Oryzias latipes: one gene and its partners. Each later gene encodes a partner of the first gene's protein in a complex. Links are inferred from orthologs where the notes say so. Each region holds a gene or a part of one and is shown in the gene's direction. Other genes may lie near its edges. The genes, in order: mms19, ciao1 and fam96a.

Region 1 (3,648 bases):
GGAGACCAGGGAAGCCGGTAAGAGTCTTCCTCAAAGTGAAGGGGTTCTGTGCTGCCCGTCCCAGGAGATGCAGAGCCATCAGAAGCTTTATAAAGAGAGAGGCGCTTCTAGAGTAGAGGATCTAACCTGATCTAGAGGATCTAGCTGACATTTGTGAGACCGTGCTCTAGTGGTCACTTGGTGAACTGCGGGTCGCTCCAAACCAGTTTAGGCTTGTTTGATAAACTGAATTAATGATTTGATTATTTAAATTCTTTCTAATTTCTCCAATTGTCAATAACGTTTGTTTATAGTATCCATACAAATATCTGACACTCTATGCGTTTGGCGGTCTCTCACGTCCTCTCAATCCTCCATTCAGAGCTGAAGAGTTTGGGAGCCGACTTTGTCTTTGGTTTCGTCCAATCAATGGACGGCGAGAGAGACCCTCGCAACTTGCTGCTGGCCTTCAGGATCGCCAGAAACCTCATCGTCCAAGGATACGATCTGGGTGAGAAGACCTTCCTCCCCCCCCGTCTGTTGGTGATGTCACGGTTTCCTTCTCTCAACCTTCCTGTCTGCTGTCTCAGGTAAATTCGCAGAGGAGCTCTTTGAAGTGACTTCCTGCTATTTCCCCATCGACTTCACCCCGGTAAGTTCCTGTTGACGACGTCTGCAGACCGCCAGAGAAAACTGTTGCTCCTCCCCCCAAAAAACAAGTGTGATCTGGGCATTCGTGCTCCTCATTGGGGTCTCCATCCTCTCCTCTCTGGAGAAAAATCAGCTAAAGTAAAATATGTCGCTCTATTATCTTCAGGATCTGCTACATGTCCCTCTCTCTCCCTGTCTGTCCCTGCCACCCGAGAGCTGCACAAATTCATTAAAAAAACACGCTTTTGTCATAACGGTGCCTTTTATGTACGTTTGTCTCCATAGCAACCATTTCAATTTTTGGTCGTTTGAGGCCGACGGACAGATCAATGTCATTTTTAGAGGAATACATTTTTGGATTTCCTTAGCAACTGAGGTTTTTTGTCAACCCCGCCCACATTCCTAATATGTTCATATCTACAATGTCCTGGTAAAAAATGTGCGAGCAAAAGTTTAAGTCGCACTGCCCCCATCTGAAAATCGCCCAATTTTACACTTTGCCACCTTTTGCCATCCCATAATAATTTCAAAACTTACTTTAAATATCCCTGACATGTGTGTTTTGGTTTTGCCGGGTTTTTTTTGAGCCCCCGGAGATTGTGGGAGTGTCAGCAGCAGTGTCTGCAGCAGCGTCTGCAGGAGCGTCTGCAGCTGTGTCGGCAGCATCTGCAGCAGCGTCTGCAGCATCTGCAGCAGCGTCTGTGCAGATCTCTGACATGGTTCTCCAGGGTTCTGACATCTGAACTCTTTAGATCAGGACGCGATTCCAGGATAACTTTTCATCTAACCTGTCCTCCTATTCTTTTTCCAAAACCCCCTCCTGGTCCACTGCAGCCCCCCAACGACCCCCACGGCATCACCAAAGAGGAGCTGGTTCAGGCTCTGAGGGCCGTCCTCACCGGAACGCCAAAGTTTGCCGAGGTAACGACGGCGGGTCTGCTTCTTCTGACTCGATCCCCTGAGCAAACATTCTCCGGCAAACGTTTCTGTTCGGCTTCCCACAGTTTCTGTTCCCCCTCCTCATCGAGAAACTGGACTCAGAGGTTCAGAGCGCCAAGCTGGACGCGCTGCAGACTCTGGTGAGGAGACACGCCGTGACGCTGAAACAAGACACCAGTTTTCCTCCAGTCTCGTAAAGCAGCACAGTGCATAAACCCGTGCTTTTACTCTGAAAGGGTAAAGGGCGGGAAACCTTTTTCTGCAGAAAACGGACGTCTGAAGTGAATTTTTATTTCTTAATTTTATTTCACCTTTATTTACCGAAGAAATGTCCCATTGAGATCAAGAATCTCTTTTTCAAGGGAGTCCTGGCTAGAAGGAAACAATAAATTATATCTACAATAAAATGTAAACAATTAAAACAAAATAAATAAACACAAAAGCTGATTCAGCTCAGACATGCTGATGTTTAGATCTGCTGTCGCTGCAGTCGTTTGTTTTTTAGTTTTGGACAAAAGAGGAGATGGAAGAGTTCTGTGACGAAATAAAACACATTCTATTAGAAATCCTTTTCTAAACTATCTGTTATTTTGGGTCTTGGCTTAAAGAACCTGATCTTCCGGTGAACTCTCAGACGTTGCTTTCTTTCCGCAGAACGCATGTTTGTCGCGCTTCGAGCACAAGGACACGGCTGAGTTCCTTCAGGGCCTGTGGTCGTCGCTGCGTCGAGAGGTCGCCACGCTCACGGATTCAAACGTTTCCTTCCAAATTCAAAGCTTTTCGTGACGTGGCGTTGCTGCGACGCCTCCTGGCTGCCGCTCAGACCTCGCTCTTCTCTGCAGGTCTTTCAGACGTCCAGCGAGAAGATCGAGTCTGCAGCCCTCGCCGCCCTCGCCGCCCTCACTTCCTGCCTGTCTCGCTCGGTGCTCAGCTCCGAGTCGGAGGACGTCCTCGGACGCTTCCTGGAGGTCGTTCTGAGAGGTGAGCGGCGGTGAGATCGGCCCTCTGAGTTCAGGTGGATGCTAAGGGGAGTCGTGGTGGATGCTCCTGGTTTTTTTTAATAAAGCCAGGCAGGAAAAAAACTAAATTAAACAAGATAAACAGTATAGGGATATAAGGATATTTTTAAATGTAATAAGGAGAAAAACATGTCATGTAATTAGCAGGTGTTACAGAAATTCTCTTAAGGCTTTTATCGTAAAGCTAATGGTAAAAAATACATTCAGGTTGAGCAAAAACTACAAACAACTTATTATGTTTTTAAATTAAAACATTAATCGTGTAAAAATACTTCTGCAGACACAAACCTTTGCTCTCAAACACAAAGGCTTCTGTAACCATGGTAACAGTGTGTGTGTGTGTGTGGGGGGGGGGGGGGTGTGAGGGTGTGTGTGCGTGTGTGTGTGTGGGGGGGGGGGGAAACCTGTTTGAACACAGGCTGCTGAGAAACACATGTTGACTTTCAGTATAACAAATCTAAAAGCACAGAGCTGAACCGGTTCTCTAAACAAACCAGAAGGGGTCCAAAAAGACCCGCTCGGTTCTGTTTCCTCCGGATGAAACCGAATGTTGAGCTCAGAGAAACGGCTGAATGTTCAACACAACGGTTTGTCCTTTGGAACGAACCAACAGAATAGATGTGATCTAAAACTGTTTCTACAGCAGAAAAAGGTTTTTCCAAAGTTAATGCAGAAATTGAATTTACCTGAGTTCTTTATTTATAAAAATGACGTCAAACTGTGCTGACGTCTTGTGGCGAGGCCTCATTCCGGCGCCGTGGGCCTCGCCTGCGGAACTTCCTGAACTTTCTAACATTTTTTGTTTTAGCTTTGATTTGAAGTAAATTTGACACTTTCTAAAGTTTCTGTTAACTTTTAGATTTCTGGTTGATTTCATGGACCGTCTCTTTTTTGTTTGTTAGATCTGCGTTTGTGGCGGACTATTTAGTTATTTATTTGAGGTGTTGTCAGACCTTTATAAATAAAGTTTTATTTGAACTTTTTTTGTTCGATTCTTTTATGACTAAAGTTTAATTTCTGCCTCCAGACTGTGAGCATCACCTCCGTGAGCCGGACCTGA
Region 2 (4,382 bases), on another chromosome or scaffold:
TTCCTCCTCGGTGGGATAATGGCGCAGGAGGTTTGCAGCAGTGGCTAGAATGGAGGCTCCACCAGCACCTGCCACCAGGTAGAAGCTGATGGCAAAGGTGACGTAAATGAGAGAGCCATGGTACTTTTTGTGTTGCTGCTGCAGTGACAAGATCAGTTCCGATGCCCAGTAGCAAAAGCCTATGACTGTGGCACACTGCAACACTGGAAAGACAAAGAAACCAGTTACATTGTAGCAATGTGTTTGATCTTTATTAGAAATGAAAACAAGCACTGTAGATACCTGTTAGTATATGTGCAAAAGCATATCTGCGAGTTATCTTTAGGGCAGGGTGTTTGGGTCCAAACACATCCAGGAGGAACGCAGTTAGACTGCACAGGATGCCAAGGAAACAGAAGGCAGCTATTACCCTTAGCAGCAGGATGGTCTGCGGATTCACACAGTAATCTGAAAAGACAGACGTGCCACAAATTCATATAAATTAAGGCACTCCATGATCCTCAGCTTAGAGTGGCAACGACTTTGTGCTGGTTCTTACCACCCAAAAGATTGGGATCAACGTATCCCAAGACATCTGCCACCCCGAGTTCTTGTCTCGGGCAGGTGCCTCCGTGAATCCGGAGCCAAGCAGGTTCAGCCAGAGCCGTGCACAGCGCTGTGATGGACAAAGCTCCGGGCAGGGCCGACACTAGACTCCGCTCCGGCTGTTTGGGAAGTGAGGTACCGGCTCTCCTCCTCCGACCTCCGGAGACAGCGGGACCCGGTGGGGCATACATAGCTGACCGAATGGCGAATTTTCTGTTGAAGTGGTAGGTTCCTCTTAGCACTGTCTTCCTCTTGACAGTAGTACCGGGTTATTGTGGTATTAGAGTAAAACTACGGCAATTGTCTTCCAGGATATGTCAAAGATTTCGGTGGCGATAAAAGTGCTCAACAATATAAAAACAACAATAACCGCTTCCCTAAAGTAGTCAAAAAATATTAAGGAAAAGCCAACACAAAGAACAGATCCTAAGCGGGCCTTTAGCTCTGTTGTTAGCCTCTGAAGCTAACTAAAAAAAATAAACACTTTACGTCACCAGTTCTCGGAGGAAAGACACTTTTTAGCGAACGAATGGGAAAAAATATAACCTGTAAACATCAAATCCCGCTGATAAAACCGTCCGTCTCTATGATACAAAAAGGAACACAAAACAAAACAAAAGATAGCTTACGCTGTTTTCCTCAAAATCCCTAACTTCCTGTATATGCCATTCTTCTTCGTGACGTTTAGAATGTTTGCTGTACACTACCGCCCCCAGCGGAAACTAAAATAGAAATGTACACAATGTTTAGCATGAAATTTTCTTTGCAAACAGTAATGTAAATATAGATTCATATTATAAAAATACATATATAGGTAGATCACTTTCTTTAAAAATATATAAATGAAATATTACCATCAAAACGTTTTATTTTAGATCAACCCATAATGCACCGGGTCCAGATCCCGATAAGCAAACATGGCGGCATTTCCTAATTTGACGCTTCTTTGAACTTATCTGTGTGAACAATTTTCCTTGGTTAATTTCCCCCTCCTTTTGTTTTAATGTTCATAAAGGTGTATTAATTTACTCGCAGTCCTCTTGTCTGTCGTTTTCCTCATTTGTGACTCTTTTTAGCCTAAATCTTTGGTTAACGGAAATCGAGAAAAGTGTCGAGTCGACGCCTGACAGACAGAGGAGTCACGTTTGCTGGAGCTCTGCCATGAAGGAGGCTATTTCTCTGGTGCAGAAACTCAGCGCACACCCAGATTCTCGGTGCTGGTTCGTCAGTTGGAGCCCGAGCGGTGCGCTGCTGGCTTCGTGTGGTGGCGATAAGGCCATCCGGATATGGGGACAGGAAGGTCAGACTCAGACAGACAAAGAGCCTTCTATTCGAATTTTGCTACGCCGATTTAAAATCAGTGGTTGGATGACCTTACCTTTTTTACAGTTCATGTTTTCCCTTTTCAAGGTGACTCTTGGGTTTGTAAAAACGTTCTGCAGGACGGACACCAGCGCACTGTGAGGAAAGTAGCCTGGTCTCCCTGTGGGAACTATCTGGCCTCCGCCAGCTTCGATGCGACGACATGCATCTGGAAAAAGAAGAACGACGACTTTGAGGTAAGGTTCGTTTAACCTCTGATCTAACACGTGTTCTGGCTCCACCTGGACTCTTTTCTTGTCTTCTAGAGCTTAACTGTGTTGGAAGGTCATGAAAACGAGGTCAAATGCGTGGCGTGGGCCCCTTCAGGGACTTTGCTGGCCACTTGTAGCCGAGACAAGAGTGTCTGGGTTTGGGAAGGTTTGTGTCCTCACCAGCTCTTGCAGGACAATCCTTTGTCACAGAAAACATATAGAGCTGGGTTGTAAACCTTTGTTTTCCTTCTTCACAGTGGACGAAGAAGATGAGTACGAGTGTGTTACAGTGGTGAACTCGCACACACAAGATGTAAAGCATGTTGTGTGGCATCCCACGCAAGAGGTAGGTCTGCACTCAGTCCTTCACCATCATGTAGTTGTTTTATTATTGTTGCTATTAATTGTTAAAGTGCATCTTTAGCCATATTTATGATCTACGTGCTGTTTTTAATAGAGCCATGGTAACGACGTTTGTGGGATCAATAAAGTTGTATTTTATTCTATTTCCGCAGCTCTTGGCTTCTGCCAGCTACGACAACAACATCTGTATTTACAAGGAGGAGGATGATGACTGGGAGTGCAGGGCCACTCTGCAGGGACACACGTCCACCGTCTGGAGTTTGTGTTTCGACGTGACGGGACAGAGGCTGGCGTCTTGCAGCGATGACCGCACTGTGAAGATTTGGAAGGAGTATCCAAGTGAGAGTGGTGAGAAGATAGAGGGGTAGTTTATGACATAAATAAAAAAAAATAGGATATTTTTTAATCACAGAATGTTTTGTTTGGTCTGCTTTATTAGGTGATTTGTCATGGAAGTGCGTTTGCACTCTGTCGGGTTATCATGGACGAACAGTGTACGACATTGCCTGGTAAGACTAAATACTTACACTACAGCAGGGGTGTCAAACACACGGCCCGCGGGCCTTATCCGGCCCGCCAGGTGGTTTACTCCGGCCCACACATGAAGAGTAAAAATCAAAAGGATGATTAAAAAAGAAAGCAAGTTTCTAGTCCATTCCTGTGGCGAATTATGATTTTTTAAAGAAATAACAGAAATGTGCAATTCCGCCACTAGGGGGAGTAAAGGAAAAGAAAAACAGTTGAAACAGCAAATATCTGCATGTGCCAAAAGCGAAACATAACAGCTCTGCGTCTGGGTAGGATGCACCTTGGTTCCCTATGAGCCTTACCGCTGTTATCTTGCTATAAGGATGATCATTAGCGACACCCTAATGACCAAAATGCTGTCAAACGTGAAGTGGAGGGAAGAGCCTTCCAGGAAAATTGGACAGAGTTTTTTCTTTTTTTCACGAAGCTGAATGTAAAACCCAAATGCTTTGTATGTCATCAACATCGCAGTGCTCAAAGAATATGACATTCAGCACCACTAAGAGACTTATCATAAAGAAAAGTTTCTGGATTGCTTCAGTGTCAGATGTAAAATATTCAGACTGCATTAATTTGAATAGACCAACTTTTCTTTAATTGAAATTAATTTTATTTGAGCTCCATTGGCCCCAAGTGATTAGGCTACTATGTTGATTGAGACATTTTTTCCAACTGAATAAAAAACTAAAACAAAGCTGTTATTTTGCTTTTATGTTACTGGTCCGGCCCACTTGAGATCAGACGGGTTAAATGTGGCCCCCGAACCAAAATGAGTTGGACACCCCTGCACTACAGTCTGGTGTCTGATTTTTTTTTTTTTACTTTAAAAATAGATTCTATTTACAGAGTTTTTAAAAAGTTGCCAAAACAGATTTTCTTCTTTGCTTTTTTGGCTGTACCACCACTAAAACAGCGCTTGTCATCAGTCGGCTGAATCTTTGTCCCCTTTACTATTATGGCTCAAACAACTGTCTGTTGCGTAGGTGTCGACTGACCGGTGCCCTAGCAACTGCCTGTGGCGACGACGCCATACGAGTGTTTAGGGAGGATCTCGCGGCCCATGCAGATGAGCCGGTGTTCTCGCTGGCTGCTCAGGTGAAGAAGGCTCACTGTCAGGATGTGAACTGCGTCGCCTGGAACCCAAAGGAGGCCGGCCTCCTGGCCTCCTGCAGTGATGATGGAGACATTGCAATTTGGAGGTTTCAAGAAGAAGACTGAACCTGCTGTGGAGACACCAGCAATTGGATGAAACCCTGTGCTGAACTTAAATGTTCTTTTCTTTTGCTATATAAAGTCATGCTTATACAGTTATCTTTATAAATCTGAATGATT
Region 3 (3,648 bases), on another chromosome or scaffold:
CTGGCCAGTAGTTTTTGAAACTTACTGGCCCTGCCTGAAAGTTACTGGCCCTGCCTGAAAGTTACTGGCCCGACACCGCGCATAGCGGGACCCGCCGCTTCGCAGGTGCTTGCAACTTTAGGGGGGTCCGGGGGCATGCCCCCCCGGAAACTTTTAATATGGTGCAATTTGGTGCATTCTGGTGACATCACTTATTTCTACACTTTTCAATGACTGAAAATAGACCATATCAAACTTAAATCTGCTCTAGTCTGTTTCAGATGTTTTGAAGAGAGCACTGCAGTGTAGTAGGTAACACTAGTTCAGAAGTTTTCATGGTGCTTTTAACGGCAAATATCGCAATAAATCATAAACCTTAAATTTGTTAAAACAATCTAATGGCAGCTTGAACCATTTAACGAATCAAATAAATCCCTTAATGCATTTGACCAATCGGATGGACGCCTTCACATTGTTGACCAATCAGATGGAGCCCTGTTATGTTAGATGTTTGTAACCTATGTCAACGTGGGTCATTTGGAGTATAATTTTTAAACTGGGAATGGTTATTTGGTTATTTTGCTGTTTGTTTATATACCGCAAATTATATCGTTATCGCAATTTTAATCTCTGATATCGCATATCGCGAGTTTTCCTCATATTGTGCAGGTCTAACTGAGATCATTCAGCGAACTAGAAATACTTACTGCTTACAGTGTTGTAAAGAAAAACAAAATTAAGTAGTTTAACATTCTACTGCATTTGAGTCTGAGATTCAGGTATTTGGAGTTGCCTTTGATTCTTTGACATTCAGCTTAAAGCTTAGTGGATACAGTTTCATCTTCAATGCATTCATTAAATATCTTGCTGTCCATACTACTAATTATACCCACTACTCCATCCAACATATTCCTATCTATTCCTGCCATGTCTTCCACATCTCTGACATGCTTCAGTGTCTCTTCAGTGACGGTGTCGGATTTATAATCAAATGTAATAATAACCCACTGGCTTGTTCCTTCGTTGTTGCTGTTTAACATTGTTTTGTATTGAATTGTTACATTCAATAAAGTTTGAAAAAAAAAAGTAGTGAGCGCGTGCCGCGTGGTGCTCGGCAGTGAAAGCCGCGCGCGCGCAGGCGGGAGAGAAGGAGAAGTGATCAAAGGTTTCCCATAGAAACCCTTGAAGTCTGAACACAGGACTAGCAGAAAAACTAAATTATGAAGACGAGTTAAATCTACACCTTTTCGCAAAATTTACTTTATTGAAAAAGGTGAAGAATATATAAACCGTTAGATATTTTAGTGGCCCGAGCGGACAAGTGAAAAGTAAAGTCTTGTGGTCCGCACTGCTCGAAAAACAGGACCGGGCCAGCGGACAAATGGCTATGTCGAGCCCTGTAATGTCAAAGTACTTAATTTTGTTTTTCTTTACAACACTGTTAGCAGTAAGTATTTCTAGTCTAAAGCTAAATGATCTCAGTAATTTAATTTTTCAATTATTTAATTCAATTTAATTAAGTAACTAAAGTAACTAAAAAGTAATTGTAACTTTGCAACTTTAAACAAGTAACTCTGCAAATTTGAACAACATAACGGTAATTAAGGATCTAAAAAGTAAAAAACTAAATAAAACTTCTTAACTATTGATTACGAACAAATGTGAAATAGCAGTGATTAGAAGCAGCATGAAAACTTCTTAACTAGTGTTGCCTACTACACTGAAGTGCTCTCTTCAAAAAATCTGAAACAGACTAGAGCAGATATAAGTATGATATGGTCTATTTTCAGTAATTGAAAAGTGTATAAATAAGTAATAGATGTCACCAGAATGCATCAAATTGCACCATATTAAAATTTTCCGGGGGGGAATGCCCTAAAGTTAAGGCGTCCGTCGCTTTGGGTGCCGCCTGCGGCGGCGGGTCGCGCTGTGTGCGGTGTCGGGCCAGTAACTTTCTGGCAGGGCCAGTAAATTTCAAAAACCACTGGCCCAAATTTCTGAGCTATGTCAACCCCAGCCTTCTCCTTGAAAGCGACTTCAGTCCGATCTGATCCTCAAAGGCGCTTTTTCCTGCCGTTCAACAGATGTGATCCGATCGATCCGGGACCCAGAGAAACCCAACACGCTGGAGGAACTGGAGGTGGTGACGGAGAAATGTGTGGAGGTCCAGGATCTGGGAGAGGACGAGTACCTGATCATCATCAAGTTTTCCCCCACCGTCCCTCACTGCTCCCTTGCTACTCTCATTGGTGAGTAACTGATGGAGACACGAGGACAGGACCCAGAGCCACAAGAACAGAGGACCTGACCAGGAGCTGAACCGGAGTTATTAAATCTTTAGAAAGAAAAACATGACCTGTTGGTAATGAATATCCTATTTCCTGTTCTGTGAAAAAACTAACTCATCTGAAATGTTTAGCAATAGCAAAAAACTTTAACAGGTCTGCTTTTCTTGGTCAGGTGTTCTTTCCATTGCTGAGTAAAGTTTAACTTAATGTGTGTTCAGAGAATAAGTCATGTTTTTTGCAGTTTGGCCAGGGGTGCGACTTATACTGTGGAGTGACTTATTTTCTGATTAAAAAAAAAACTAATATATTTGTCATTTTCCCACTAAGAACAACTAGAGGGCTCAGTAAAGGGGTTTATTGGTAATTCCTACTGACAGCAACACAGAAGAAGCTCTGCTCAGTCCAGTCATCCATTCAGGCTTTCTTCAGTGGCTGTCGTGGTGCAAAGTTAGAGCGGTCGACCTCTGATTGGAAGATTGGATTGCTGGCACAACACTGAACTCCCCATTGCTCCTGGTGGTTATAGGTAGTGCCATCAGTATATGAATGGGACTGTGACTGTAAATCACTATGGACCTTCTAAGAAGGTACTAAAGCGCTATACAAGTATACACCATTTACCTTTTTTTCTTGACTATTAAACATACTACATAGCATATAATACATAGGTGTAAGGCCCTGAATCCCGGAAAAGACATTTAGATTAGGTTTGGTCGTTGTAGCTACAAAGTCATTCTGCTTCTAAATGGACGTGGGTCAGGGTGTTGGGTCTGCCGCCGTGAACAGGCTGGTTCTGGTCAGTGATTGTGATCACTGGAGCCAAGCAGCTGCAGTTGTAAACAGCCTGTACCACAAACAGATAAGGACTATGCTCAGGAATGCAGACTCACAGCAGGGGTGATTCATTAGAAATCATTGTATATAATCAGAGCGGTCCTAATGAGCACAAAAATACATTGTTGGATTGAACTAATAACACTTTCAAAAAGTTCCAGCTGCTATACTGAACATACATGTTTGTCACACATTTTTATTGTAAGGAAAACCATATTCTTAACTAATTATAAGATCATTATAAAAATGATATTATTTAGCATGTCAAATCATCGTGTGAGGCTGAAAGCTCTGTTGGAAAAGACACTTTCGAGGCTTCAGTTAGTTTCTATAACATACATTTAATATTGGGTTTTTGTTGATCTGTTGTTATGGTTAATCCCTAAATCTGAGCTTCCCTGATGATGACATTCTCGTGTCTGTGTGACAAATTCAGACTTGTCCTAGTTAGAACAGGTCAATTTTTTTTCTTATGTTTCCAGCTTAAACTCTGCCTATACAGCTTCGGCTAAGTTGGGCCTCTTTCTTGGAATAAGCTCCAGTGTCG

What was found.
Region 2: mms19 (region 1) and ciao1 share a complex: the UniProt entries of both Homo sapiens proteins name them as parts of the MMXD complex. The link is inferred for Oryzias latipes from reciprocal best matches to the Homo sapiens genes MMS19 and CIAO1.
Region 3: mms19 (region 1) and fam96a share a complex: the UniProt entries of both Homo sapiens proteins name them as parts of the CIA complex. The link is inferred for Oryzias latipes from reciprocal best matches to the Homo sapiens genes MMS19 and CIAO2A.

Annotation. Positions count from the first base shown.
Region 1 is NC_019877.2:1,645,727-1,649,374, reverse strand, and holds part of mms19 (MMS19 nucleotide excision repair protein homolog), read left to right. Parts: coding exon 1-17; intron 18-361; coding exon 362-490; intron 491-569; coding exon 570-631; intron 632-1,464; coding exon 1,465-1,551; intron 1,552-1,634; coding exon 1,635-1,709; intron 1,710-2,223; coding exon 2,224-2,301; intron 2,302-2,411; coding exon 2,412-2,550; intron 2,551-3,615; coding exon 3,616-3,648. UniProt on the Homo sapiens protein: Key component of the cytosolic iron-sulfur protein assembly (CIA) complex, a multiprotein complex that mediates the incorporation of iron-sulfur cluster into apoproteins specifically involved in DNA metabolism and genomic integrity.
Region 2 is NC_019867.2:18,361,263-18,365,644, forward strand, and holds the start of ciao1 (probable cytosolic iron-sulfur protein assembly protein CIAO1), read left to right. Parts: upstream 1-1,470; 5' UTR 1,471-1,746; coding exon 1,747-1,885; intron 1,886-1,995; coding exon 1,996-2,144; intron 2,145-2,213; coding exon 2,214-2,325; intron 2,326-2,416; coding exon 2,417-2,505; intron 2,506-2,674; coding exon 2,675-2,870; intron 2,871-2,961; coding exon 2,962-3,031; intron 3,032-4,033; coding exon 4,034-4,268; 3' UTR 4,269-4,382. Other genes in the region: tmem127 (transmembrane protein 127), read right to left, coding at 1-203, 283-447, 539-776. UniProt on the Homo sapiens protein: Key component of the cytosolic iron-sulfur protein assembly (CIA) complex, a multiprotein complex that mediates the incorporation of iron-sulfur cluster into extramitochondrial Fe/S proteins.
Region 3 is NC_019864.2:1,194,602-1,198,249, forward strand, and holds part of fam96a (MIP18 family protein FAM96A), read left to right. Parts: intron 1-2,063; coding exon 2,064-2,228; intron 2,229-3,648. UniProt on the Homo sapiens protein: Component of the cytosolic iron-sulfur protein assembly (CIA) complex, a multiprotein complex that mediates the incorporation of iron-sulfur cluster into extramitochondrial Fe/S proteins.